Astyanax mexicanus: one gene and its partners. The protein of the gene in region 1 binds, or shares a complex with, the protein of each later gene. Links are inferred from orthologs where the notes say so. Each region holds a gene or a part of one and is shown on either strand. Other genes may lie near its edges.

Evidence for each region. Proteins that work in one complex are often made in the same cells at the same time.
Region 2: prpf6 (region 1) and prpf31 share a complex: the UniProt entries of both Homo sapiens proteins name them as parts of the U4/U6-U5 tri-snRNP complex. The link is inferred for Astyanax mexicanus from reciprocal best matches to the Homo sapiens genes PRPF6 and PRPF31.
Region 3: prpf6 (region 1) and lsm3 share a complex: the UniProt entries of both Homo sapiens proteins name them as parts of the U4/U6-U5 tri-snRNP complex. The link is inferred for Astyanax mexicanus from reciprocal best matches to the Homo sapiens genes PRPF6 and LSM3.

What each region holds. Positions count from the first base shown.
Region 1 is NC_064420.1:15,937,791-15,946,262, reverse strand, and holds the start of prpf6 (pre-mRNA-processing factor 6), read left to right. Parts: upstream 1-5,364; 5' UTR 5,365-5,402; coding exon 5,403-5,596; intron 5,597-6,832; coding exon 6,833-6,995; intron 6,996-7,618; coding exon 7,619-7,737; intron 7,738-8,246; coding exon 8,247-8,325; intron 8,326-8,440; coding exon 8,441-8,472. UniProt on the Homo sapiens protein: Involved in pre-mRNA splicing as component of the U4/U6-U5 tri-snRNP complex, one of the building blocks of the spliceosome.
Region 2 is NC_064413.1:29,852,051-29,860,298, forward strand, and holds the start of prpf31 (U4/U6 small nuclear ribonucleoprotein Prp31), read right to left. Parts: upstream 3,278-8,248; 5' UTR 3,137-3,277; intron 987-3,136; coding exon 771-986; intron 685-770; coding exon 624-684; intron 531-623; coding exon 447-530; intron 1-446. Other genes in the region: uncharacterized protein lmtk3, read right to left, coding at 4,947-5,071, 6,850-6,934, 7,116-7,450. UniProt on the Homo sapiens protein: Involved in pre-mRNA splicing as component of the spliceosome. Required for the assembly of the U4/U5/U6 tri-snRNP complex, one of the building blocks of the spliceosome.
Region 3 is NC_064431.1:723,540-731,580, forward strand, and holds the start of lsm3 (snRNA-associated Sm-like protein LSm3), read left to right. Parts: upstream 1-4,764; 5' UTR 4,765-4,857; coding exon 4,858-4,881; intron 4,882-5,137; exon of another isoform or gene 5,138-5,224; coding exon of another isoform or gene 5,225-5,245; intron 5,246-6,497; coding exon 6,498-6,608; intron 6,609-7,222; coding exon 7,223-7,318; intron 7,319-7,820; coding exon 7,821-7,901; 3' UTR 7,902-8,041. Other genes in the region: zgc:171566, read right to left, coding at 533-671, 774-858, 2,128-2,178, 2,274-2,388, 3,839-3,920. UniProt on the Homo sapiens protein: Plays a role in pre-mRNA splicing as component of the U4/U6-U5 tri-snRNP complex that is involved in spliceosome assembly, and as component of the precatalytic spliceosome (spliceosome B complex).

The sequences.
Region 1 (8,472 bases):
TTGTTTTAAATGTCTGGGCTCTCCAGATTCTATCAAAGAGATGTGGAGCTAATTTGATTCTGGATAACGGTGTAAAAAGCGATTTATCGAGGCAAAATATGCCCTGAAGGGGCCATTGTACAGAGAGTGCTGGGCAAAAAACACAAAATTACTGGATCTTAGAAAGCTGTGGGAGAGCAGAGGTGTGCTATTCAACAAAGGTAAGTATCTTTATTATGTTTACTACAGCCAAAGTCCATTTTACCCAAGAGTTCTCCTTTAAGTTAAAGTTCAAGTACTCTATCAAAAAAGTGAGTAGAGGTTAGTGTCCTTTAAGCATCATACAGTATTTCAGCATCATACAGAAGTACTAAAGTATTCAACACTTTTTGTACTTAAGTATTGCAAGTAGTTTATTTAAGCATTTTCTACTCAAGTACTGAGAGTAAAAGTATATGTACTGCGTTGTGTAGTTATTACAGAAAGAAGTCACTAAAAGGTCACTACTTGGTCTATCACTATTGTAAAATCAACTAAAGCTGTCAAAAGGCCAAGAGATTAGAGCGTCTACATTAATCCTTTGGACAGTGCAGAGCATCTACTGCTCTAAAAATGGACGGATTTTTAGTGCATCTGCTCATACTAAGCAATGAAATAGCATTTATTTTTTTCGCATGAATCTGAATGTTTTTTTATTTTAGAAAACAAACCCAGTGCGCTTTGACTTTGATGGATTGGTATTTGAACGGCGCAGTGCTTCTGTATGTGTAAGGAGCAGGGGGTGTAAGCATGAGCCTTGCAGGAATGGGCATCTGACTGTTGTCAGGGTTTTAATCAGTCAGTGGCACACCTGTGTTTTCTGCTGCCAAGATAGCAATAAGCCAGAAATGTCCCTGAACACACCTCACTTTCAAAGCACCACGCTCATCGGCATAGATATATTTATAAACTCCATCATTATTTTACGGCACAGATGGTGTAAGATGTAAAATTAGACTGTTGGTGGGGTGTCAGGCTAACAAAGCACCCAGCTCTCAGGGATTGTATGACGTCCCAAGGAAGTTAAACGGGTCTGTATGCTGTGCGTCTTTCAATTATGCCACCCCAAAATATTGCCATATTTTATTCCCAGATGAAAATTAAAAGAAACTAAATCACATTCCATTTTATTTTACTTAAGATTATTTTTGGATTGGAGCTTTGATGTAATATTCAATTTCTTCATGAGCAATAATTCACAGAAAAGCAAGCTTTATTATACTCTGGCTTAGACTTATTATCTCCTTCCTATGCCTTTATAAGTCTTGGCCAAAACTTCATTATCTCGTTCCTACTCCTTAATGATTATTTGTCATGATTTAATTATCTTGTTCCCATGCCTTAATAAGTCTTGGCCATGACTTAATTATCCCATACCCACATCTTAATAAGTCGTGACCACACATTAGGATCTCGTTCCCACACCTTAATAAGTCGTGGTCAGGCCTTAGGATCTCGTGGCCACACATTAATAAGTAATGGTCATGCATTAAGATCTCGATCCCATGCCTTAATAAGTCGTAGTTATGCTTTAGGATCTTGTGGCCAAACATTATGATCTTGTTCCCACACCTTAATAAGTCATGGTCAGGCCACAGGATCTTGTTGCCATGCATTAGGATCTTGTTCCCATGGTTTAAAAAGTCATAGTCACACCTTAGGATCTTGTGGCCACGCATTAATAAATTGTGGTCATGCATTAGATCTCTCTCCCACGCCTTAATAAGTTGTGGTCACACTTTAGGATCTCATGGCCATGCAATAATAAGTTGTGGTCATGCATTAGGATCTCGTTCCCACGCCTCAATAATTTGTGGTCAAGCCTTAGGATCTTGTGGTCATGCACTAGGATCTCGTTCCCACGCCTTAATAAGTCCTTGTCATGCATTAGGCTCTCGTTCCCACACCTTGGCTCTTGGCCACGACTTAATAATTGAATTCTCACGCCCTATTTAGTCATGGTCACACCTTAGGATCTCGTGGCCTTGCTGTAATAAGTTGTGGTCATGCATTAGGACCTCGTTTCCACGCCTTAATAAGCCATGGTCAAGCCTTAGAATCTCGTGACCACCCATTAGGGATCTCTTTCCTATGCCTAAAAGGTCATGGTCACGCCTTAAGATCTCATTCCCACACCTTAATAACTCTTGGCTCTTAATTATATAATTCCCATGCCTTAATAAGTTGTAACCACAGATTATGATCTAGTTCCCATGCCTTAATAAGTCATGGCTACGAATTAGGATCTTGTTTTTATGCCTCAATAAGTCAAAGTCACGCATTAGGGTCTCTTTCCTATGCCTAAAAGGTCGTGGTCACACTTTAAAATCTCATTCCCACACATTAATAACTCTTGGCTCTTAATTATGTAATTCCCACACCTTAATAAGGTGTGATCCACAGATTAGGATCTCGTTCGCATGCCTTAATAAGTCATGGCTACGAATTAGGATATTGTTTTTACGCCTTAATAAGTCATAGTCACATCTTAGGATGTCATTCCCATGCCTTAATAAGTTGTGTCCTCACTTTTTTTTTTTTTACATGATGTCAGCTTAGAGGCGGAGTCATACCTTTTTTTTTTAATGTGTTTCTTAACTTCCTCTTTTGAGGTTGAAATATTTGTGTTAAATTGGCTTCAAAAGAAGCAAAAATGAGACAATGGGCTCTATTAGCTGACCTTCACATGGGAGAAAAAAATGACTGCATGCCCTTTAGGGCGCCCTGTCCTGCAATAAATTATAATTGTGTCGCCTCTAGAGCAAGAAAAATCAATAATGTGTTTTAATGAGTGTCCTTATGTGGTTTCCCCTCCTATACAAAAAGGTGTGCTATTAAGAGTGTGATTATTACTGAAAATCTGATGCGTCTGTATCAGAAACATTATCAAGAATGCTTATTTCAGAGCAGGAAAATATTAAGTGTTAAGGGGAGGGGGGGGGGGGGGGGTCAATGCCATTGACGGCTGAAGGGCTAGTAGTAATGCTGTATGAAACAGGGGTGATGTTTTCCATTTTCTTGGTCCCATTCAGGAGATAATCAGCTGCATTTCGGACCAACTGCAGACATAGCAGATACCCAGGTACAGTGAGGTTCAGTAGGCGACACAGGAGGAAATAAGCTGATAAAAAAAACTTCCTCTTACAACGGTACTGATTTTTTTCTCAAAATGTAGGTTAGTGTCGAAGATGAAACCTTCAATGAAAGATTCTTTTCATGCTCATGCACGTTGGTGTTTAACGGCCAGAGTTCACTGGCTATTATGCTAACTGAATCAGGATTTCCAAAGATAATAATGTCAGTTTTGTCTTGGTTTAACTTAAGGAAATTCTTAGACGCCCATCATTCAACATACCTTAAACAATTCAAGCAAGAGAGTGAATAATAATAATAATCATTATAATAATATACAATTGGAAATTAATTTATATTTTATATTAAAAAATTTAACAAACCTACACCGTCTGTAACACAGAGCGCACAAGCTATAGTTTTATATATAGTTAACTCGAAAAAAAAAGCATGCCTCTGCTGCCCCCTGCAGTATAGATAGTGATAGTGCAACAACAACAGCAGGCCAGGCTTACTGGTTTACCCATGCCAACTTTGACCTGCTTTCACTTGCAGAAGGGGGAAATTCATATAATATATGTAATGTAGAGCAAACTTGCTCCTAAAATCCAGTTTTTTATGAACAGTTGTATGTTTCTATTTTTTAAGCTGTTTCATCATATGGAGCTTCTTTATTCTTCTGAGAGACTTCTTACTCACACTTGCTAGTTCCCCTAAAGCTCAGCCACTCTATTCATAAACGTGTAGTGACGCCTCAGGTCAGCGGGAAATGGGTTAACTCAGTTGCATAACCAAATAACGTTTGGACCTACTTGGCTCCTGTCAGTGTGTCTATGCTATTGTAAAGACGGGAAAAGTATGCCTTGTGCAGCTTGAAACTTGCAAAATGCGTGAGCTAATTTTCTTAATTAATTGTGGTCGTGTTTTGGGTGTAACATTAAAAAAACGTAAATAAGCGTATCACTTGCCATTTCCGTTATGAGCCGTTTCTGCTTTTCTCTTGTGCAAATAACACATCAGTGATATATGCGTTGGGTTGTTATGTGCTTACTTCGCCACTTGACTACAGCAGCGTTACACCTGTTCTGTCGAATAATGCTACCCATATAAATATGTGCTCTCTAAAGACATTGCGCATGCGCTGACCTACCCTTTTTGATGATTTCTTGTGTGTGTGTTTTTTACAGAGACTGTAAAAAAAGATGGACGCCGTGTCTCCGTTCCCATTCATTCAATGAAAATGAAGCCAAAATCTTCCGCCATGTTGGCGATCCTGACACCCGATTCTGCGCAGTAGAGACCAGAGGAGGGAGAAAGTCTGTGGATAGCAACCTACTCATTTGAATAACCCCGCCCCTGAGGGCTGCCTCGCGGTCACAGACTGCAGAGCGGAGCGGAGCGGAGCTGACGGTCTGTTATTGGTCCCGCCCATAAGCAGCCCTTTTACAATAACCACACCTTTTTGAATAGAGCTGAATAACGTTTTAAAAAATGAATTCTGTGTGGATATTAAATTTTAACAATGTAAGCAGAGGATACACTAGCTGTTGCATTTAAATAATGGAGGTAGAATTACAGTATATTAGAAAAAAACGTGATTGAGAGTTGTCTGTTTTGCCATTGAAACCTATGGGGATGGGTGGAGTTACACAGCTTTCTGCAGCCGAACAGCAGGGGGCGCCCGACCTGTGGTGGCTTCACTTTTGAGAGACGATGCTCTGTCCAGCTATATACAGTCTATGGTTTTTTATAATAAGTCTATTTCTTTGTGCATTAAACAACCTAGACGCACTGTCATTGTACGAAAGTGTAAATGGAAATTATAAATAACAATAAAAACAATTATTAATATTATTTTATTTTTTTTATGAAAAAAGGAGGTCGTAATTACCTTTCATTAACATAAATTTACCATAATACAGTGATTTATGCTATGCAAATATACTAGCTAGCTATCGTTACATCTACTGGAAATTCTACTGGGAACATGCTGAAATATGGTGCTTCTTTTTTATTTTTACAGTTAAATATACACTAGGGTAGCACGGTTTAACAAGGTAACATAACTCGACATAACACCCAGATCACCGAAACACATTCATTCATTCTAAAGACCACAATTAGACACTTTAAGGTGTTTTAACCAGGGCACAGGACCCTGTGAACTGCAGTACCAGGGTTGCAGTACTGTTCCTCAGCAGTGCGCTATTCGCCCCCGCCAGCAGAGGCGCTGCAGGGAGTTCGGCTCTACCTACAGCTCGAGCTGCAGAGGAAGCGCGCGTGTTGTGGTTGTGGAAGCAGCAGCAGCAGCGATGGCGAGCTCCGCGGCGAAACAGCCTCAGAAAGGCGCCGCTAAAGGTCCCGCAGCGCCCGCCGGCGGAGCGGCCGCCGCCGGGGCGGCCATGCCCCTGGCCTCTCCGCTCATGGGGGGAATTAACAACAAGAAGAAGAAGCCGTTTCTGGGGATGCCGGCTCCGCTCGGATACGTACCCGGTCTGGGGAGAGGGTGAGCCGGCTAGCAGCTTTAGCATGTGTGCGAGCTAACGTAGCTAACTAACTCTAGCTAATAAACAGAACCCTGATAGTAATTCTGTTTAGTTTATCTTTAGCTATTTATCGGTTACAGTCCTGAAGACTTTGTATGCGACCCGTATTAGCCTAATGCTGAACATTCACTGCACGACTCTGAAAAGTCTTTTAACAGACTAAAATCTGACACCCCCTCACATCAAAACACAAGTCACAGACTTTTTACTTACAGGCTAAGATTTTGCAAAGATTAGGCATCTTGCATGGTCACTTTTCGCAAGATTGCAACTAGGTTCTTTCTGAGATTATTTCCCGCCATGCTTCTGGTGGAGTTTACATACAATAACTGTTACATATTATAATACAAGTAATGTGTATCAATACTGTGATTTATCAGAGACTCACAACTTTTGTCCCCAATTAACAATTTATTTTTCTGCCACACTCATGGTTCTTGATATATTTTTTGATAGAATACATTTTGTGTTCAACTCTGCCTATAAACCTCCCCTTTTTGCTACAACCTTGTATAGCAAAGAGTCACAGTTTCACTGCTATACATTTGATTTAGATAAAATTAATGCAATAAAGATCATTCTTGAAAAATGTGTAATGTTATTTATTAAACTTGTTTGTATTACAAATAAGACTGCACAATAAGACAAAGTAGTGCAAAATAAAAAGACTTTAAATATAATTACTTTAAAGTGCAACCTGTTTAAAATACTGCACATATTAAAGTAATAACCATAGAAGGCATATGAACTGCAAAATGTGTTCATTTATAAATAGTTTGTAAACAGTCACATGAAAAATATTCTTGCCTTACGGCTTCCGCAGCTCTTCTAATGTTTGTGGACCTTGTTCACTTTTTGCGTGAGCCAAGTCTCAAGACTCTCATTTCAGATATCAGCTAGATTTTGAACAGCATAGGGTATGCTTTTATTTACATTTAATGGTTAAGTAGGTGTGTAACCTACACAATCATTATCACTCTGTCCTGAGTACTCCACCACTATGACCAAGATTGACCATACAGGTTAAAACAAAGCCGGTTGTCCAGCAAGATCATACTAGTCAACCAGCTTAAGTATAGTCAGGCAGGAGCTGGACACTCAGCATGCTTACTTGTATGGGGTATGTTTTTGTGTGGGTGACCAGCATTTCAACCACACTGACAATTAAAGACCTGCTGAATGTTTTCTACCTGCAGTGCCACAGGTTTCACCACGCGTTCTGATATTGGTCCTGCTCGAGATGCTAATGACCCAGTGGATGACCGTCATGCTCCCCCAGGGAAGAGAACAGTGGGAGATCAGATGAAGAAGAACCAAGATGATGATGATGAGGATCTGAACGACACCAACTATGATGAGGTAACTAAGTATAAGATAAGAGAAGCTGCATTGTGTTATTAAAATATAGACAACAGGGGTATTGAACCTGCTCACATTGGGCCAGTGTGGCTACAGTTTCTTATTCTTAACAACCAGCTGCACGACTGATAACCACCTGTTTGAGCTACGTTCACATTACAAGCCCCGTTGCTCAAATCTGTTTTTTTTTTTGTTTTTTTTGCTTAAATCGGATTTGGCTACTCTGACGGTTCACATTCACAAATGAAAGTGATCTGTATGTATCTGTTTGTAATGTAAAGAAATCTGTCCCTGAAACGTCTCATATGCACATGTATAAACGTCACTTTCTTCACCAACAACAATAAAACGTCATATTTGATAGACGACTCGTAGCTTTATAAAGGTGAAATGGATGTGTTAGCAGCTCATATGTGGAGCATCTTTTGCTGGAGTGGAGAGTAAACAGCTGGTCTGCAGTACATGCTCAAGTTGAGGAGGTGAAAAAAAAAAAAAAACTGTCATACTGGACACCCACAAGAACACTATATGCTGCTTATATTGTTTTAATAGTAGTGATTTAGATGGTTAATTGGCTTTGTTATTGAAGAATACTATACCTTGTTGATCTTTATGTCCTTTAGTTTAATGGTTATGCTGGGAGCCTGTTCTCCAGTGGACCATACGAGAAAGATGACGAAGAGGCAGATGCTATTTATGCAGCACTGGATAAAAGAATGGATGAGAGGCGAAAAGAGAGAAGGTAAGATCTCTTTCCTCTAAACAAAGAAGTCAGATTAGGAATTATATTTAAAAATGGTTTCTGTTTGATGCAGTACTTTTTGTGCTATATTGTTCATTTTATGCTGCCATAGGTAGTTTTTTTCAGAATATTTTTACACAGAAAAAAGGTTTTCTGACCTAAAATTAATGAATAGGAGTTTATATATATATATATATATATATATATATATATATATATATATATATATATATATATATATATATATATATATATTTCAGATATTCAAAATGGTATCTCAGTATTAATTTGTTTATGTACATTCAATCATATCCAAATCAAACAAATATTGTTGTGTAAAATATTAAAATACTATGACACAGAATTTACATAGTTAATTAAAGTCCTATAAATATGAAGTATTTGGAAGTTATGTGCCTGTAATGATTAAACTAGAAATTTTTGCAATCATGCTTGTTTTCTATCCTTTTGTTAATATCTGTGTGTTAATTAAATGTGTATTTTTATAGGGAGCTGAGGGAAAAAGAGGAGATAGAGAAGTATCGTATGGAGCGTCCCAAGATCCAGCAGCAGTTCTCAGATCTGAAGGTACATATACAAATTCTTAAGTGGACCAAGTGGTCTCCTGCTTTAACTTGATAATTTGTTTTAATTTGATATTAAATATTTATGGAAACACATGTTCTGCTCTGTGTTTGTGTAGAGGAAGCTTTCTGAAGTATCAGAAGAGGAGTG
Region 2 (8,248 bases), on another chromosome or scaffold:
TGTTAAGGCTGTAAATGTTCTATTATTTTGTACATGACTGTTCCTGTATTTTTTATTATTATTTATTTTGCTAGGTTGACATTGCTGTTTTTACTAGTGCACACTGCTGCTACCAAAAAAGCCACTAGACAGAATTACATATATATCTTAATTAAATTATTTAAATTCGACCATTAGTGCCTAATGTGGTGTATTACAGATCACTTGAATCAACCCAATGACTGACCATAGACTAATCTAAAACTGGCATAGGCCTCTCTGCTGTAAAAAAGAAAAAGAAAAAAGAGAACCAAATCAATCGAATCGTGACCCTAAAATTGGAAATACAATCGAGTAGAGGATTTAGAGAATCGTGACACCCCTAATCCTCCTTAACACACAATCCAAACAATAAAACTAAAAACGTATGTAAAGCATAAGAAGAAAAATGACTAAACCAAACTCACTCAATTCGTTATCGATTTCCACAGTCAGGTTGTTGGCAGCAACAATGAGCCGGTACTCGGGGTCTGCTTCCACAGGGCCGGATACTGTAAGTGGGAAAAGATCAATAAATGAGTGCTGCTATTCAGGGTACACCTCCACGTGGACCACCAACCTAATTCCAGGAGGTTGCTTCTTACCATCTGTGTTATTGCGTGGATTCCCTACATACTGAGAAATCTTCTCCATGATTTCAGAAAACTGCCAAAACAAGAAGCACAGTTTAGAGACAGAGAAAGTGAGCAGGTGTTATGAACAGTGATTGAGTTACTCATTGGGGTACTGACTGATTTGCTGTTTCGTAACTTTGCGATGGACGACACGCTTTCTGCCCCACTGTAGTCCAGTTCCATCTCCTCTGGTATGTCTTCCAGGCCTCCATTGTCCTCTCTCTCTCTGTCTTCGCCATCACTCTCCTCGCCTTCCCCTCCTGGATACAGTCCATCTTCACCTTCATCTCCTGCTTCCTCCAAATCTGCCAGCAGCTCGTCCGCTAAAGACATCTGCGAAGAAAGGCATTATTAGGAGTCAATTTGTAATATCTGTTATCAGCTGGGTCTCTTAAATTATTTAGACACCTATTTAGTCTTTTGCTCAGTATGCTCCAATCAGCAAAGCTTTTTTATGCTTTTGAAAGAAGTTAAAGGAGAAAACTTATGAGCATATTTTTTAAGGAATTCTGACCAGTCTGGAAAAACACGCTGCACTGCTCATTTGTATTATTCTCATTGCTACATTTACTTTCTGACATAATAAATTATCATCCTGGAAATAGTAATATAATCTAATTATGATCTTACAGGAATGTACACAAATCAAAAATACTCAAACCACTGCTTAGAAAATATCATTACACCACCTCTACCTTTGTGGGCAGTGGTAGATCAGCTGTTAAAGCACTGGACCATTGAGGAAAAGGGTTTGGGTTTGATACCAGAGTTAGGCGGTCCGCCAATGTTGGGCCCTCAACTCTTACTGATCTCCAGGGGCCACAGCAATGTGTCTTGTGTCAGAACTGCTGAAACAAGGCGGGTCAGGTCTATGCATTCAAAATATTGTGCCAGATTCTGTTCATAGCAGACCTCAAGATATATCATACCAGTCTATATGTTTTGTCCATTTTAAGTAAGCCTGCATCTACTGCAGCCACAGCTTTACGGGCTGGAGAGTGTTAATAGAGGGTGGGAAAACTAAATGATTCACTTCTGTTCGATATAAATCCTTAAATACCAGAAGCAAATATTATATCTGATAACACACATGCGCTGTATCCTGAGTATCAGCTCATGAATTCATGTAGGAGATACAAGGTTCCCCTGTGCAGGAATAACAGGTACAAACACCATTTTGTACCACAGAGCAGCTAAATAACATTGAGGTCTAAGTATACCCTTGTTGTATGGGGCTTGTGGGGTTCTGTAGAAGTACAAAATGTAATACACCAAGTCATCGATGTACAGCAATGTTATGGCTTCTGGTCACATGTTGCTGTCTAGGTTTGTCTGTCTGTTGTATTGCAGCATGCCCTGTGTCTAAGCAAAATTTCTTCCTTGGGAGATAAATAAAGGAACTTTAACTTTGTACCAAGAAAAAGGTTATATATGGATACAAATCACCTTCTAAAGTAAACAGCTTAATTTAATTACAAATAAAAGCTAATTCTGTGAGCTGATGTATCCGAACCGGGTCGATGTGCTTTCCTTCGAGTGCACTGGCTACAGGGCAATGCTGCATTGGCAGGCATGTATTTGAAGAGGCATGTGCTAATCTACATCCTCCTGATGTTGGGGCATTATGATAGGGGTCCTAATGAGTGGGTTGGGTAATTAACTGTGTAAACTGGGACAAAATTTGGATAAACATTAGAAAAAAAGACAGAAAAATAAATGGCACCAGTGTGCTTTGGTTACCACTTCTTCAAATATAGGTCACATAGGCCTACATTAATTCTAAAAACAGAGTGGTCTGGTAGGTCCCTAGACCTTTTTTTCTGGCTGTAACAGCTTTTGCTGGTTACCCAAACAAATATAGTGCAGCTAAGGATGCTGATGCCCCAAAGGTTGGATTCAGAAGTAACCTGTATAACTTGTGAGATTTATAAACAGACCTCTTGAGGATGTTTGTTGTGCTGTTGAAGTCCATCTTAAAAATCCCAGGTCTAAGGCAGTATTTCTCAATAACAAAAACTGAAGAAAATGTTTTTAAAAAATGTTAAACAGCAAAAAGGTCTTAGAGCCTACCTGACCACTCTGTTTAGAACATGGAGATATGAGAATGGTAAACTCAGTCTTTATCTGTTCATTCACACATCATTAAACTAAATACATGTGAAATTGGAACTGAAGAGAGCTAGTAAGCTACAAGCAAGTACAACAGAATTCCTTTACTCTAAAAAGAGACTAAAACACAGTAGATTAGCTTAACTACATGATTTAAAAGTACTTTTTAGCATGCTTAGTGCTAACCCACACACTTTAAGTTCTGGTAATGCAAGCAGTTACAGTGATAGTTTCTAACAGAAATAACAGTTTAAAATACTTTATTATCAGTAAACTAAGCACGCCTAAGTAACTAACGACTGAACCGGACTGAACTATTCGCTATAATTTCATTCAGTAAGCTCTAAAAGAGGACTAAACTCATTACTACTTACCTTATAAACGCGTTCCTACCCTTCACAACGGAACACGGCACGGGTAACAGACTACAAACAAAATACAGTTTGTTTAAAAACGAGCGAAACTAACCAAAACCATTCACAAACAACGCAGTCTCGTCGTAACGGTCGCACGTTAAACGCGTCGTTAATAGCGCAGTAGATCGCAAAGCCTTGTGGGAAATGTAGTTTCACTGAGACAAAAGGCATACAGTTCTGAAAAAAAAAAAAATAAGAGACCACTTTTTTATTTGTAGAAAACGAGAAATGGCTGAAATTACAAAAAAGCAGAGCTTTCAGACCTCAAATAATGCAAAAAGTTTAATATTTGGTCAAAGTGGACTCTTTTTTTTCAGAGCTATATCTGAGGAAGCGTAAACCAGCTCTGACAAAACACAATTCACAGCTTTAAATTAAAATTTCAATAATTTGCGCCCATATCAATCAAGCTTTATTATATTTTTTTAATCAATTATTTTAAATAAATTACATGAAATTAAAGTTGTTTGGAAATTTTAAATATTTCTCAAAAATTTCAATACAGCAGGGTATTTATTATAAGCCAGTACAATTTATTTTCATCAAACAATTCATTAAATGTTTCACAGTCTCCATGTGATTTAGTTTTATTCGTTTTGTTTTATTTTTTTGTCTTTGTTTTTTACCACTCCTGGTTACCCAGAACCTCCTCAAGAAACCTCGCAATGAAACAGATGCTGAAAGCGACGTTACAAATGTTCTGATTCACCTTCGACACCAATCACTGATCATCAAATTAAAGTTGAATAAACAGATCAATTCATGGACATGTGCACTGCCTTCATTTTTCCTCCATGCTTAGCAACAGTAATTGCTTTGAATGTAAGTAATGACGAGAACATGTCAAATACACAGTTAAAAATAACATTTATAAACAGACACAGTAAATGACAAATAGATACAGACTAACATCTAGAAATCGGTAAATGATATAAAATATTTCAAAGCATTTATACTTATGGAAATATCTGGTTTTATTTAATGAGATGGATGAAGCAACTTATTTCAACAATGCACAGCATCCAAAAACAATTAAAGCAAAGTAATTGTGCAATTGTTGCAGTCGTACAGTAAATAAATAAATAAATAATTAAATACACAATGAAGTAAACAGAAATACAGAAACAAACAACAATTTGCAATAAAAAATACAGTATAAAACATAACAGTAGGTAGCAGGTTCATTTTGTGTCGTGCGTTCTAACAATACATCTAAAATAAATGGTTTTAAAATGGAGTTTGTACAGTAAATTCACTATCCATTTGTACAAATACTAAAAGAGCACTGCACTGTTAGATAGGGAGGGTGGGATTTCCCTCTCAAGCCTACGAGGATGTTTGACTGCAATGAGAACAAATTTACAATGGCAATATTTCTATTCGAGCTCACAAATAGACAGGTACTGGTCAAAGAAAGTGCTTCCTCTTGTGTGGAAGAGGATCAGAATACAAATGTACTTCAAGAAGCCATGAAAATAGAGCAGTTAAGCTGGTACACAATAAGACTCCCGTTGCATAGCCGTAAACTCCATTTCAGATTTTACATAGCTCCCGGCTGCGTGGCTGTAGAGGTTCCTGCTTTGCACAGGACGGACCTGCTCCCGCAGCAAAGTAAAACCTGGAACACCTCCAGCCTTGAAAACAGGAGTCTTTAGCCTGATTTAAAAAAATAACCTCCAGAAGCCACCGTGCTTCACGATGACCACAGAGAAACTCTGTCACTCCAGAGAGCTACATTTTCTCCAGGTGTATAGGAAGGAATAGTGGGTCACACCAAATGTGGGTCGTTGGCAGGGCTGACGGTGAAGCGTGATGGTGGGACTGAACTGACACCTGTGGGAGACCTTGGCTTTATGTGGTCTTTGTTCTTGCTGGTCTTGTGATTGCTGCTTCCTAGCAGAAAAAACATACATGTGATTAAAAAGATAAAGCATTAAGCTAAGTTTAATGTCCCACAGCACTTTTTTTTTATAATAAAAAAAAACATAAAAATATTTTGCATTTTTCTACAAGCCTTCTCATTCAATGTTTTTATTATTTTTTTCCTGAATACTGAAGTGATACAGACTTTAAAGAAATACATAAGGAATCATGTACGCTAGTAGTGGATGAATTATGAGACTGTTAAAATATGGATATTGTTGATTTTGGACTGACCTCACCAAAATACCCTAAACCAAATCAAAGCTCTGTTAAATGTTGTAGTTGACTTGCATTGACAGTAGTAAAAAAAAGTTTTAAAAAGAGTTGCTGGTGTTGTTTTAAAATAATGTTAAAGATAAACTATTTAAATGATTACATGCAATTTATTACTTAGTGCTGTGTGTTGGTCTGCTTTTAGCAAGGATGTTAAAATTAAGATTCCTTAACAATCTCGTAGGTCTGGGAATTATTAAGAGACAAATGTACATAGAACAAATACTGGATTTGAAACAGGTTTGCTTACCATAGGGTGCAATTTTTTGAACATTTCTTCATTTTTTTTAATTGAGAAATACTGCCTTAGACTTGGGATTTCTAAGATGGACTCCAAGAGGTCTGTTTATAAATCTCACAAGTTATACAGGTTACTTCTAAATCTAACTTTTGGGGCATTTTGTATTTTGTGGCCTACTGAGGCCCAATCCCAACATCTAAATTACTTGATGGACTACACCTACCACAAGTAGATGCCTTAGGCAGTAAGGAAGTATTATTCAATACTGCACACATCATGTAGTTATAATGTCTCATGAATAAATTACTAAGATTAACTAACTACAACTTCCATGAGCGCTTGAACTCACTAGTGCAAGCTTGCTGCAGTAACTTCACATTTACACCACTGTTTTAAATACAAAATGTGCAACGATGGCTTAAAAAAATTACATTTTCTTTTAGCACTAATATGGTTGTCTTGTTTTGTCTATAAAACCAATATCAAGGGTGAAAGAAGTAAATGAAGTGTGTTAGTCATTTCTCACAACAGTTGTCCTGCCCACTTTACCAAAGTTATATAAATAAAGACATAATTTTCCATATTTAGCTTTAAGAAGTGCATTTTATCAGATTAAAGGCTTTAGCTAATTTGATCTAAAATGCAAACATTAGATTACACAGTGTGAAGCTGATTAATTAACTCAGATTAAACCACATCAAAGGGTCAACAGCACTATACTTCTCCTACTCATCTCTTGTTATATAAAAGCTCAGGATTTCAGGATCCAGTACTCCTGAAATAGACTTGAGCAGAGCTTTGAACTGCTTTTCACTCCAAGAGGGGCTGTGAAATGAGAGCATCTAAATTTAGTGCTGATTTGTGAAAAATTAATCAAATAAATAATGCAACTCAAACTCACAGTCAGACAGTCTGGCACTTAAAAGAAGTGGTTTTATATTCAAGCATTCGTTGTGAAAAGGCAGCAGTTCTCTAACCAGTGGACAAACATATTTGAAGGAATGCACATAATTTAGTACATATTGATGTAAAATGCTTAAAAAAATATTTAAAAGTAAGTTATGTAAATTCTGTATTCATCTAATCAGCAAGCAAACATTTTGAATGAATATTCATGGTTCACAACATGATGATGTAAAATAATGGTCTTCTCAGTTTTCTGCAATGTATTTAATTTAATATGTTTATGTAAATTCTGCATTAGCTTTATGCAGCTAAATGTGAAAGCCCTCACCAAGTCCATCGAAGTGAGCAGGCTTTCCAAGGGGAGACGGGCTTGTGGGTGCAGAGCCAGAACTCAGCTCATTAGTTGGAGTTTCCTACAAGATAAGTTAATTAGTAAAGAACAAATCAAGTGTAAACATCTGCCTTACTGCAACAAGAAAATTACATTAACAACATTTCTCCTCTCTCTGGACAAAGAACATGATTTAAAGGCAGTTCTTTTAGAATATTAGACACATTTTAGTCTCTACACAAAGTTAAATGTGTGACCGGTACCTGATCGAAAAGATAGACAGTGACATCATCAAAAAAGGACACATTTCTTCCGTGATCACGATTCTCTTTGTCCAAGGGTTCCTTGGGCGATTTTAGCAAGCTCCTCAGGCCTACTCGCTTGTGAACATCTGTTTCCGTGATGACAATAACTTTTCTGGATGACTCATCCTCTTGCTCTTCCTCCTCATCTTCTTCAGGATCACTTCCATTCGAAACTCCCCGTCTGCGACCAATTCTGTGGTCAGTCCTGTCCCAGAATCCTCCTTTGGGGCCGGGAGAGAGAGGGAGCGAAAGTTCCAGCGGAGGGAGGGAAAGAGAGAGACGAGCCAGTTTAGCTGGAAAATGGGGTGATAAAAATAAAAGCAGAGATTGAAGAGGGTGAGAAAGTGTGGTTAAGTGTCTCACATCAAAACCTACTGCAGTGTTTAAGACGTTTCATTATCTAGCCCTGGTCATTATTCTGCAAGTGACATCTGATTTCTTAATAAATTTGATAAATGGAGTAAATCTGTATAATATACAATCAGATACATAATATATAATACAATGCTTTATCATGTTTTTTTTTTGAAAGAATACACTGAATATGTGGCAACCAAATTTATTTAGCTGAACATGGCAAAAAAAGCACTTTCAGAATAAATGAAAACACTTAATCATTTACACTGAACACAAAACTATTGCAGTGTTTTCTCTAATATTAGTATTTGTTAAGTGGCTGTGTGTTAAAGCGCTACTGTATACAATGCAGAAAGTGAGGGAGAGAGCCGGAAGCCATCAAATAGCAGGTTCAGGTACATTTTTACAAAACCTGTCCATTTTTATCTCGATGTTTTGTGATGTCTGGATTTTACTTGAACACACACAAAGTCAGGTGTAAACAGAATTCTGTCAAAGTATCTAGATATTATCCACATACAAACCACAAAGTTAATACCAGGTATAAACAGGCACTCTTATTAAGCAGACGTGAACATTTGATATGAGGGTTGGGTAAGAGGAATCCTATGAAACATCAGGGTGTTCCTTAAGATCACATACATATGTATAAAAACCACTCCTACACTCCATAAACTGGAAAGAGACGACATATAACTACAGCTTTGAGAACTCACAGTGTTCAACCAGTCAGA
Region 3 (8,041 bases), on another chromosome or scaffold:
ACTTCTCTTTTTCTGGACATTATGGGATAAACATGTCTCAATTCCACCCGCGAAGTTACGCCTTCCCTCCGGCAGGGTTTCCACATCAATGACTACACTGCTGTGTAGTGGCAGTAAGCTGTAACTTCGCGGGTAATACAATCGACAAGCATTGTGGGAAATGTAGTTTTTGGTCAAAAAAACGCTTCTGACCTATTTATTATAGACACTAAGATTTTACAAGCTCTCGCGGGCCACATAAAAAGACGTGGCGGGCCACATCTGGCCCGCGGGCCTTGTGTTTGACACATGTGCTGTAAATAAATGCTCTAAATGAGAATATTTTTATTTGGAATTTGGGAGAAATGTTGTCTGTAGTTTATAGAATAAAACAACAATGTTCATTTTACTCAAACATAAACCTAATAAAGTCAGATATAATGTGCCATTGGTATATTTTTTTAACAATTATTTTGTACAAAGCTGCAAACTTTATAAAAAATATATGTGTTTTTACATTTAATGATGGAAAGTAGCGTGAGAATCCACTAACCCTGGGTAAACACGAGTGGTAAAGCCACAGCCTTGGTGTTGGTTAAAGTCAGCAGGTTTTTGCTGCTGGTCAGAACGGTCAGCTGCTGAAAACCCTGACAAGTTCCCCATATAGGGAAATAATCGGCTGCATCGTTGGCCTACAGAGAACAGAAGAAATAGAACTGCATTTATAACAGTATTTATATAACATATATTTATTAAAAATGGAGAAAAGGACGTCCAAATGTCCAAAACTCTACCTTAATTGCCAGTTCATAGAAGATCTTGGACACTCGACTGAACTGGGATTTCTGAAGGTCAACATCTCCACCTGGTAGCAACAACCTACCATATAAAACAAAGATTTATTTAGAGACTGGACGGAGATCAGACAGTGATGAGGGTTTAATTTATCATAGTAATGTTTGGTATTGAGTATTGCTATCAGAATCTAAATGCGGGTATCGTGACAATCCTAATCTTAAATCTCTACGCCATTAATTATATTTTTAGAAGGAAAAATTCCGGTGCAATTTCCCAGGAAATTTCTAGTATAAATGCGCACAAAAATAACTTTAAAATACATTTTATTATTAGGATTAGTGTCTTGTACATTGACCTAATTGCAAAAGTAAGATATGTAATTAAAAACGACTGAACAAATAGCATTTGTTACCCATTCTCCCCACTCTCTAACTATAAACTTTACCATGAAATATAATTATTACAATCCTTCAGAAATGTTATTTTTTTGCATTGTTGTGTCTAAATCTAAGTCTAAATTCCATCTATGCCTTAAAAGTATTTTTCATATTTTTAAAACTATTTTTCACATATTTTCATAATAAATCCATAATATTTAAGCTGAAATACACTTTTTAGTTGTGTCCCCGGGTTTTACTCAGTCCTGTTACTGTAGCTCATTACCCCATCTGCTGAAACATCTGAAACATTCTACAACAGGAAGTCACATCAGCTGGTTCTTCTGAAGACCACGGGAAGACCAAAATTAAGTAAAAACTACAAACTCATTCCTGTTACTTTCAGTCTTGTTACTCAAGACATAAAAAAGTCCCAGTAACAGGAGTTCCAGTATTAGGAAATTAGTTCCTTGTAAAAAATGAAGTAAAGTTGCATGATTTGATCAATATATATATATATTTTTAAAGTTTAATATATGTGTTAATAGACTCAGAGTAGAAAAAAAGATTTAAAAATAAGTTTAATTTGGAAGAATTACAACAAGCAAATGTCACCCCTTCGGTGGAATGGCGGACATATATTTTTTGAAAGATTGGGAGTACCTGTGGATATATTAAATATGAATTTCTATTTTGACTTTTGATGAAAAAAAAAAACTGAAACACTAGTGGTCTACCTGCATAACTTTGCCCAAAAGCTTTAGTACATTTACAACGAGAAATATAGTAAATAAACCTATTTTTATTTTTAATCCACTTGTATGTCTTATTATATTGGACAGAGACATGTACTATTGTACCATTATATTTACAATCAATAAATAAAAATACACATAAATACATAAAATAAGTTAAGGTATTTTAGTTCAACCGTAAGAAAAACGTAAAACATAAAAAAATACTGTGCACTAACCCGTTTATTGCATAGAATATTTTTGTGTAGTCCTCTTCTGAGCCATTTATCCTGCAAAAACAGATAATCTTTAGGTCAGTCACCTGATCTCTGACCTGTAGAATCTGTAGTTTATATTCATGTTAAGCTCCTAAAAAAAACCCTACCTTATTGGCACAACCCGGGCACCAGCCGACTCCAAATACTTCACATAAGAAGCGGCTATGTAGGAGGATCCTTGGGCATGAGTGTCACTTTCTAGGTTCTCCTGAGCTAGAACACCTGATACAGAACAGGAGGGAATATAAAGAGTCATATGTTCACAAAATTCTCAAATTTACAAATTTTATTTCACTTTTTCAGTTTTTTTTTTAAATTGAAGTCATTAAAAGAGTTTATCCTGCGTTTGCTACACAGGGGATGCTTTCTACTAAATGTTGGATTAGCCCTGTTGTGACAATTTGATTGCATTCAGCTTCAGGAGCTTTAGAGAGGTCAGGATATTGGATAAGATGATCAACACCCAAATCCCAACTCTCAAACCCATCACAACCCATCTTCCAACCCTTAAACTATTGGCAGGAGCACTAAATTTCCAGAAAACACAGGTCTGTCACTTCTTCACAGCTCAATGATTGGAAAAAATGTGCACACAAACTCATCCCAAAATCCTAACTCACCCCCAACACACCAACTCATCCCCAAAACATCCCAACTTATCCTCAACACTCAAGGATTCAAGGAGACCCAAAGTCATCCCCAACATCTCAACTCATACCCAACACCCCAACTCATTCCCAACACATCCTCAACACCTCAACTTATCCCCAACTCTTCAACAATATCCCAACTCATCCTCAACACCCCAACTTATCCTCAACACTCAAGGATTCAAGGAGACCCAAAGTCATCCCCAACACACCAACTCATCCCCAACACATCCTCAACACCTCAACTTATCCCCAACTCTTCAACAATACCCCAACTCATCCTCAACACCCCAACTTATCCTCAACACTCAAGGATTCAAGGAGACCCAAAGTCATCCCCAACACACCAACTCATCCCCAACACATCCTCAACACCTCAACTTATCCCCAACTCTTCAACAATACCCCAACTCATCCTCAACACCCCAACTTATCCTCAACACTCAAGGATTCAAGGAGACCCAAAGTCATCCCCAACACACCAACTCATCCCCAACACATCCTCAACACCCCAACTCTTCACCCATATCCCAACTCATCCTCAACACCCCAACTTAAAATAGTTTATCCTGTTTTTTGTTAGAGTAACTGTAACATATATATTGTTTAAGAATATCCTCATCTACTAGAGTTTGCAGTTAAACATTGCTGTGAAGATTTGACTGTATTCAGGAACCACAGCTAAGAGCTACAATCCCCAACTGATTTTAACAGAAAACAACAGAAACCCGCTCAGAAAACACAACTCAGATCTGGAAGATGTTCTTTTCTCCACAAAATCCTCCATAGAACCGCTCAGAAAGACCCAGTAAACCTAAAGAACAATGGCGAGATGTTTCCAGAACCTTCCAGAGAACCGAGAAAAGCCGGCGGAGCTTCAGCTCCAACCGAGTCCAGCTTCCGCAGGGCGTGGGGAGCACTGACGGTACAGACTCAAAACGCCATATTTATCACAGCAGCAGATCTACAGACGTTAGAAAGCCGTTAAACGTCCGTTAAACGCGGTTTTCCGCGAGACTCACCGATGACGGGTCTGTAGTTGAGGGGGACGCTGGCTGAGGCGCACGCGGCGAGCACCGCCCAAACCACGGCCGGGAGACACATTCACTACAGGTGTGAAACTAATAGAGAGGCTAAAATCTGTTAAAATAGTCAAAACATTCAATTTAACGTTAATTAAACGTCAGAATCGCAGGTTCTCCGCGCGCGCGCCCACTGACAGGATGGATGCTCGTGCTGCTGCGCGTGAACTGCAGTTTAGCAACAGCAAAAAAAAAAAAAAAGAAAAACGTGAAAAACGAGAAACAAAATAAAACTAAATTAAAATGTATACGTAACAGTTTACGCATTTTGATGCATTTACATTCATTAGTTGTTTATTTTACTGCGAATTATAATTTTTGTAATATATATTTTAATATTTTAATCTTAGTAAATTATAATTTTTATAAAAAATCAATTTCCAAAGCTCAGTTTTGGAATTTCCATTGCCACTTACCAGCTGCAAGCTCTAAATAACTAAATAATTTAAACAATATTTTTTTTTCTTTTTTTTATCTACTTTTACAGCTTATACATGTTTTGTGTACTTTTACTTTTAGAAGCTTTAGTTAATTTCGCAAGCAAAACAAATTTTTATGACTAACTTTCAATGAAATAATAAAATAAAATAAATATGTCAATTGTGAATAAAAACATATTAATATTGTTAGACCATGGATTATTATATTTTTAATTTCTCACTCATAAGCAAAACCCTTTTTCGCATTTTTGTATTTCTTTTTTTATATTATAAATGAATAAGCGTACAAAAAACATAAATAAAATAAATGATTGCAGTCATTAGCACAAAAAACCCGTGGTGTTATAAAATAAGGTGAAATATTTAGTGAATAAAATGTTATTCGTCTAATTATTTAAAAGTCGTGTTGCTCTCAGGTGATGCTGCTGATGAACTCACAGTGAGCAGTGTTCACACATCCCATCGGTTTGAGGTTAGAACCTGCATGAGATTATAGGTTATATTCGACCAGTAGCTTCGATGGCACCCGTTGTGGAGATACAGGTTTGTGTTAATTTTATATTTCAGTTTTTAAGTCAAAATAGAGCCACTAGCAGTTGCTAAAATGGTTAATTTATGTGTTTTAAATAAATTTTGAACCCATAATGAAGTATTGTAGCTCTTAAATGTCAACTCTGCCTGGAATGAATCAGAACTGGCTGAATATTTGAAGCCTATCATACTACACGGTGTTTTCCTGATTATTCTGATTAATCATGCTTTAAAAAGGATGAACGGTGCCAGAAACAGATCAAAATTCAGGTTTTAAACATAATAGTGAACAGGTGGTGATGTTTCGCGCACATGAACGCGCGTCTTCCCGAGATGCACATTGGGTACTGCAGGAATGGCGGACGAAGTTGAACAGGTTTGGAGATTTTAGCTGTTTATTTTATTTAATCTCATTTAAAACACATAATCTGAGGCTAGTCTATGTGGTCAAGATTTCATAATATTAGGATGATCGATTAAACCAGTTTTAACGGTTTATAGGTATTTATATGCAGGGTAATAGTAAATTTAGCCGGCTCTGCTAAGCTAAGCTAAGCTAACACAGCTTTTATACAGGGTTATAGTAAGGTTGGATGGCTATGCTATGCTAAGCTAACACAGCATTTATATGCGAGGTATTAGGAATATTAGCTGGCTGTGTTAAGCTAAGCTTATGCAGCGTTTATGTACAAGGTAATAGTAACGTTAGTTGGCTTTGCTAAGATAAGCTAACGCAACGTTTATATGCGGGTTAATAGTAAGGTTATAGCTAGTTGTGCTAAGCTAAGCTAACGTAGCGTTTATATGCGGAGTTATAGTAACGTTAGCTGGCTACGTTAAGCTAACTTTGTTTTCTGTTTTAGTGCCTATAAATCCTGTATTTAAGCAACTGTGGAGTAAATTATTCATCTAGCTGCAGCACTTTTTTAGTAAATTAGTATTTTGCATATTTTAGCTAAAATCTTAATCTCTAAACAGTATTCATATCTAAAATGTTAACATAGGTTACATATAAGAGATAGATAGATAGATAGATAGATAGATAGATAGATAGATAGATAGATACTTTATTAATCCCAGAGAATATAGTAATACTATCACATCAGAATGTTTTTTTCTGTATCACATTTCTCTTTGAGGACAGATCTGCAGACTCCCAGTGTCCCTTAATCGTTTTTTTTGTCTTTAATGGTACTCTACCATATAAAAATAAATAAAGAAAAACATTGAATGAGATGGTGTGTCCAAACATGTTTACTGGTACTGTACCTAAAAGTAACTTGAATTGTGCATATCTTTCTTCTTGTCATATAGTGTCGTTACAAAGAACTTGAATTTGAGGTACCATAAATTGCCCCCCAAAATGTTATGAAATAGTTATGATATTTTAAATTGTTCTGAGGTTTAAGAGAGTTATGAAAGAATGCACTGAACACATCAGCACCTTTAAAAAAAAAGCAAGCAAAATGTAAACATTTTAGAATTCGCAAGTTAGAATGTGCAAAATCTGTTCTTGGGTGGAAAAATACAATGCTGTTAGTTAAATGCACATTAGTATCAGCAGGTTTGACACTTCCCTTTAAGTCTTATGTTTAAGTTTATGTATAACTTTATAATTTCATTTGCAGCAACAGACCACCAACACGGTCGAGGAGCCGCTGGACCTCATTCGGCTGAGTCTGGATGAGAGAATTTATGTAAAGATGAGGAACGACAGAGAACTTCGCGGCAGATTACATGTAGGACTTTTTATAACTAACTGTGTGTGTGTGTGTGTGTTAGTGTGTGTGTGTGTGTGTGTTAGTGTGTGTGTGTGTGTGTTAGTGTGTGTGTGTGTGTGTTAGTGTGTGTGTGTGTGTGTTAGTGTGTGTGTGTGTGTGTGTTAGTGTGTGTTAGTGTGTGTGTGTGTGTGTTAGTGTGTGTGTGTGTTAGTGTGTGTGTGTGTGTGTGTGTGTGTGTTAGTGTGTGTGTGTGTGTGTGTTAGTGTGTGTTAGTGTGTGTGTGTGTGTGTTAGTGTGTGTTGTGTGTGTGTTAGTGTGTGTTGTGTGTGTGTTAGTGTGTGTTGTGTGTGTGTGTTAGTGTGTGTTGTGTGTGTGTGTTAGTGTGTGTGTGTGTGTTAGTGTGTGTGTGTTAGTGTGTGTGTGTTAGTGTGTGTGTGTGTGTGTTAGTGTGTGTTAGTGTGTGTGTGTGTGTGTGTTAGTGTGTGTGTGTGTGTGTGTTAGTGTGTGTGTGTGTGTGTTAGTGTGTGTGTGTGTGTGTGTGTTAGTGTGTGTGTGTGTGTTAGTGTGTGTCATTAACTGACTGCAGACCTCTCATACTGTATCCTGTGTGTATATACACACTTTTTTTTTAGGCTTACGACCAACATTTGAACATGATCCTCGGGGATGTGGAGGAGACGGTAACAACGGTGGAGATTGACGAGGAGACGTATGAAGAAATTTACAAGGTATGAATTAGTGCTGTGCGATATGATGATAAATATCGTGGGGACGATAGAAAAGTGTCTTCAATCATCCCCATCATTTCTACAGTAATTTCATCAATTATTCATGCAAAAATATAAAGTAGGCTACGATGAAATGTATTGGCGTGCTTCATAATGTGGTTTTGCGACGTGACTCTGCTTTACGCTGTTTGACGGACACTTTAAAAAATGTTAATTGAGTTTATTTTGATAGCTCAATTCAAATACCTGTATAATTTTGAAAACATCAGCTGCTGCATCTACCTCATCTGTTTTTATTTGATACATATATATTGCTGCACTAAAAGGTAGTAATTCTTATTTGTGAAAGTTGGGTTTAATGTCACTTTGAAATAAAGTAATAAAGTCTCCATATTTTAAGAAATATCAATTTGTTTTTAGATATATCAGATAGATATAAAATGAGACAATATTGTTTATTTTTGTCGTCTGTTTCTGTCTTTCTTGTTTTTTATATTTTTAGTCTACGAAGAGAAACATCCCGATGCTGTTTGTCCGTGGAGACGGTGTAGTACTGGTTGCGCCGCCCTTAAGAGTTGGGTAAAAAAAAAATTAAGAATGGAAGCCACCCTCCTCCATCCTCCTCCACCCACTCCCTCCGTCTCTGTAAATTGTGTTCAGGAGAGCATACCTGTGTTGTCTTTTGGTAGATCACAGAATTGTGACTGTAATATTATTTTTTTA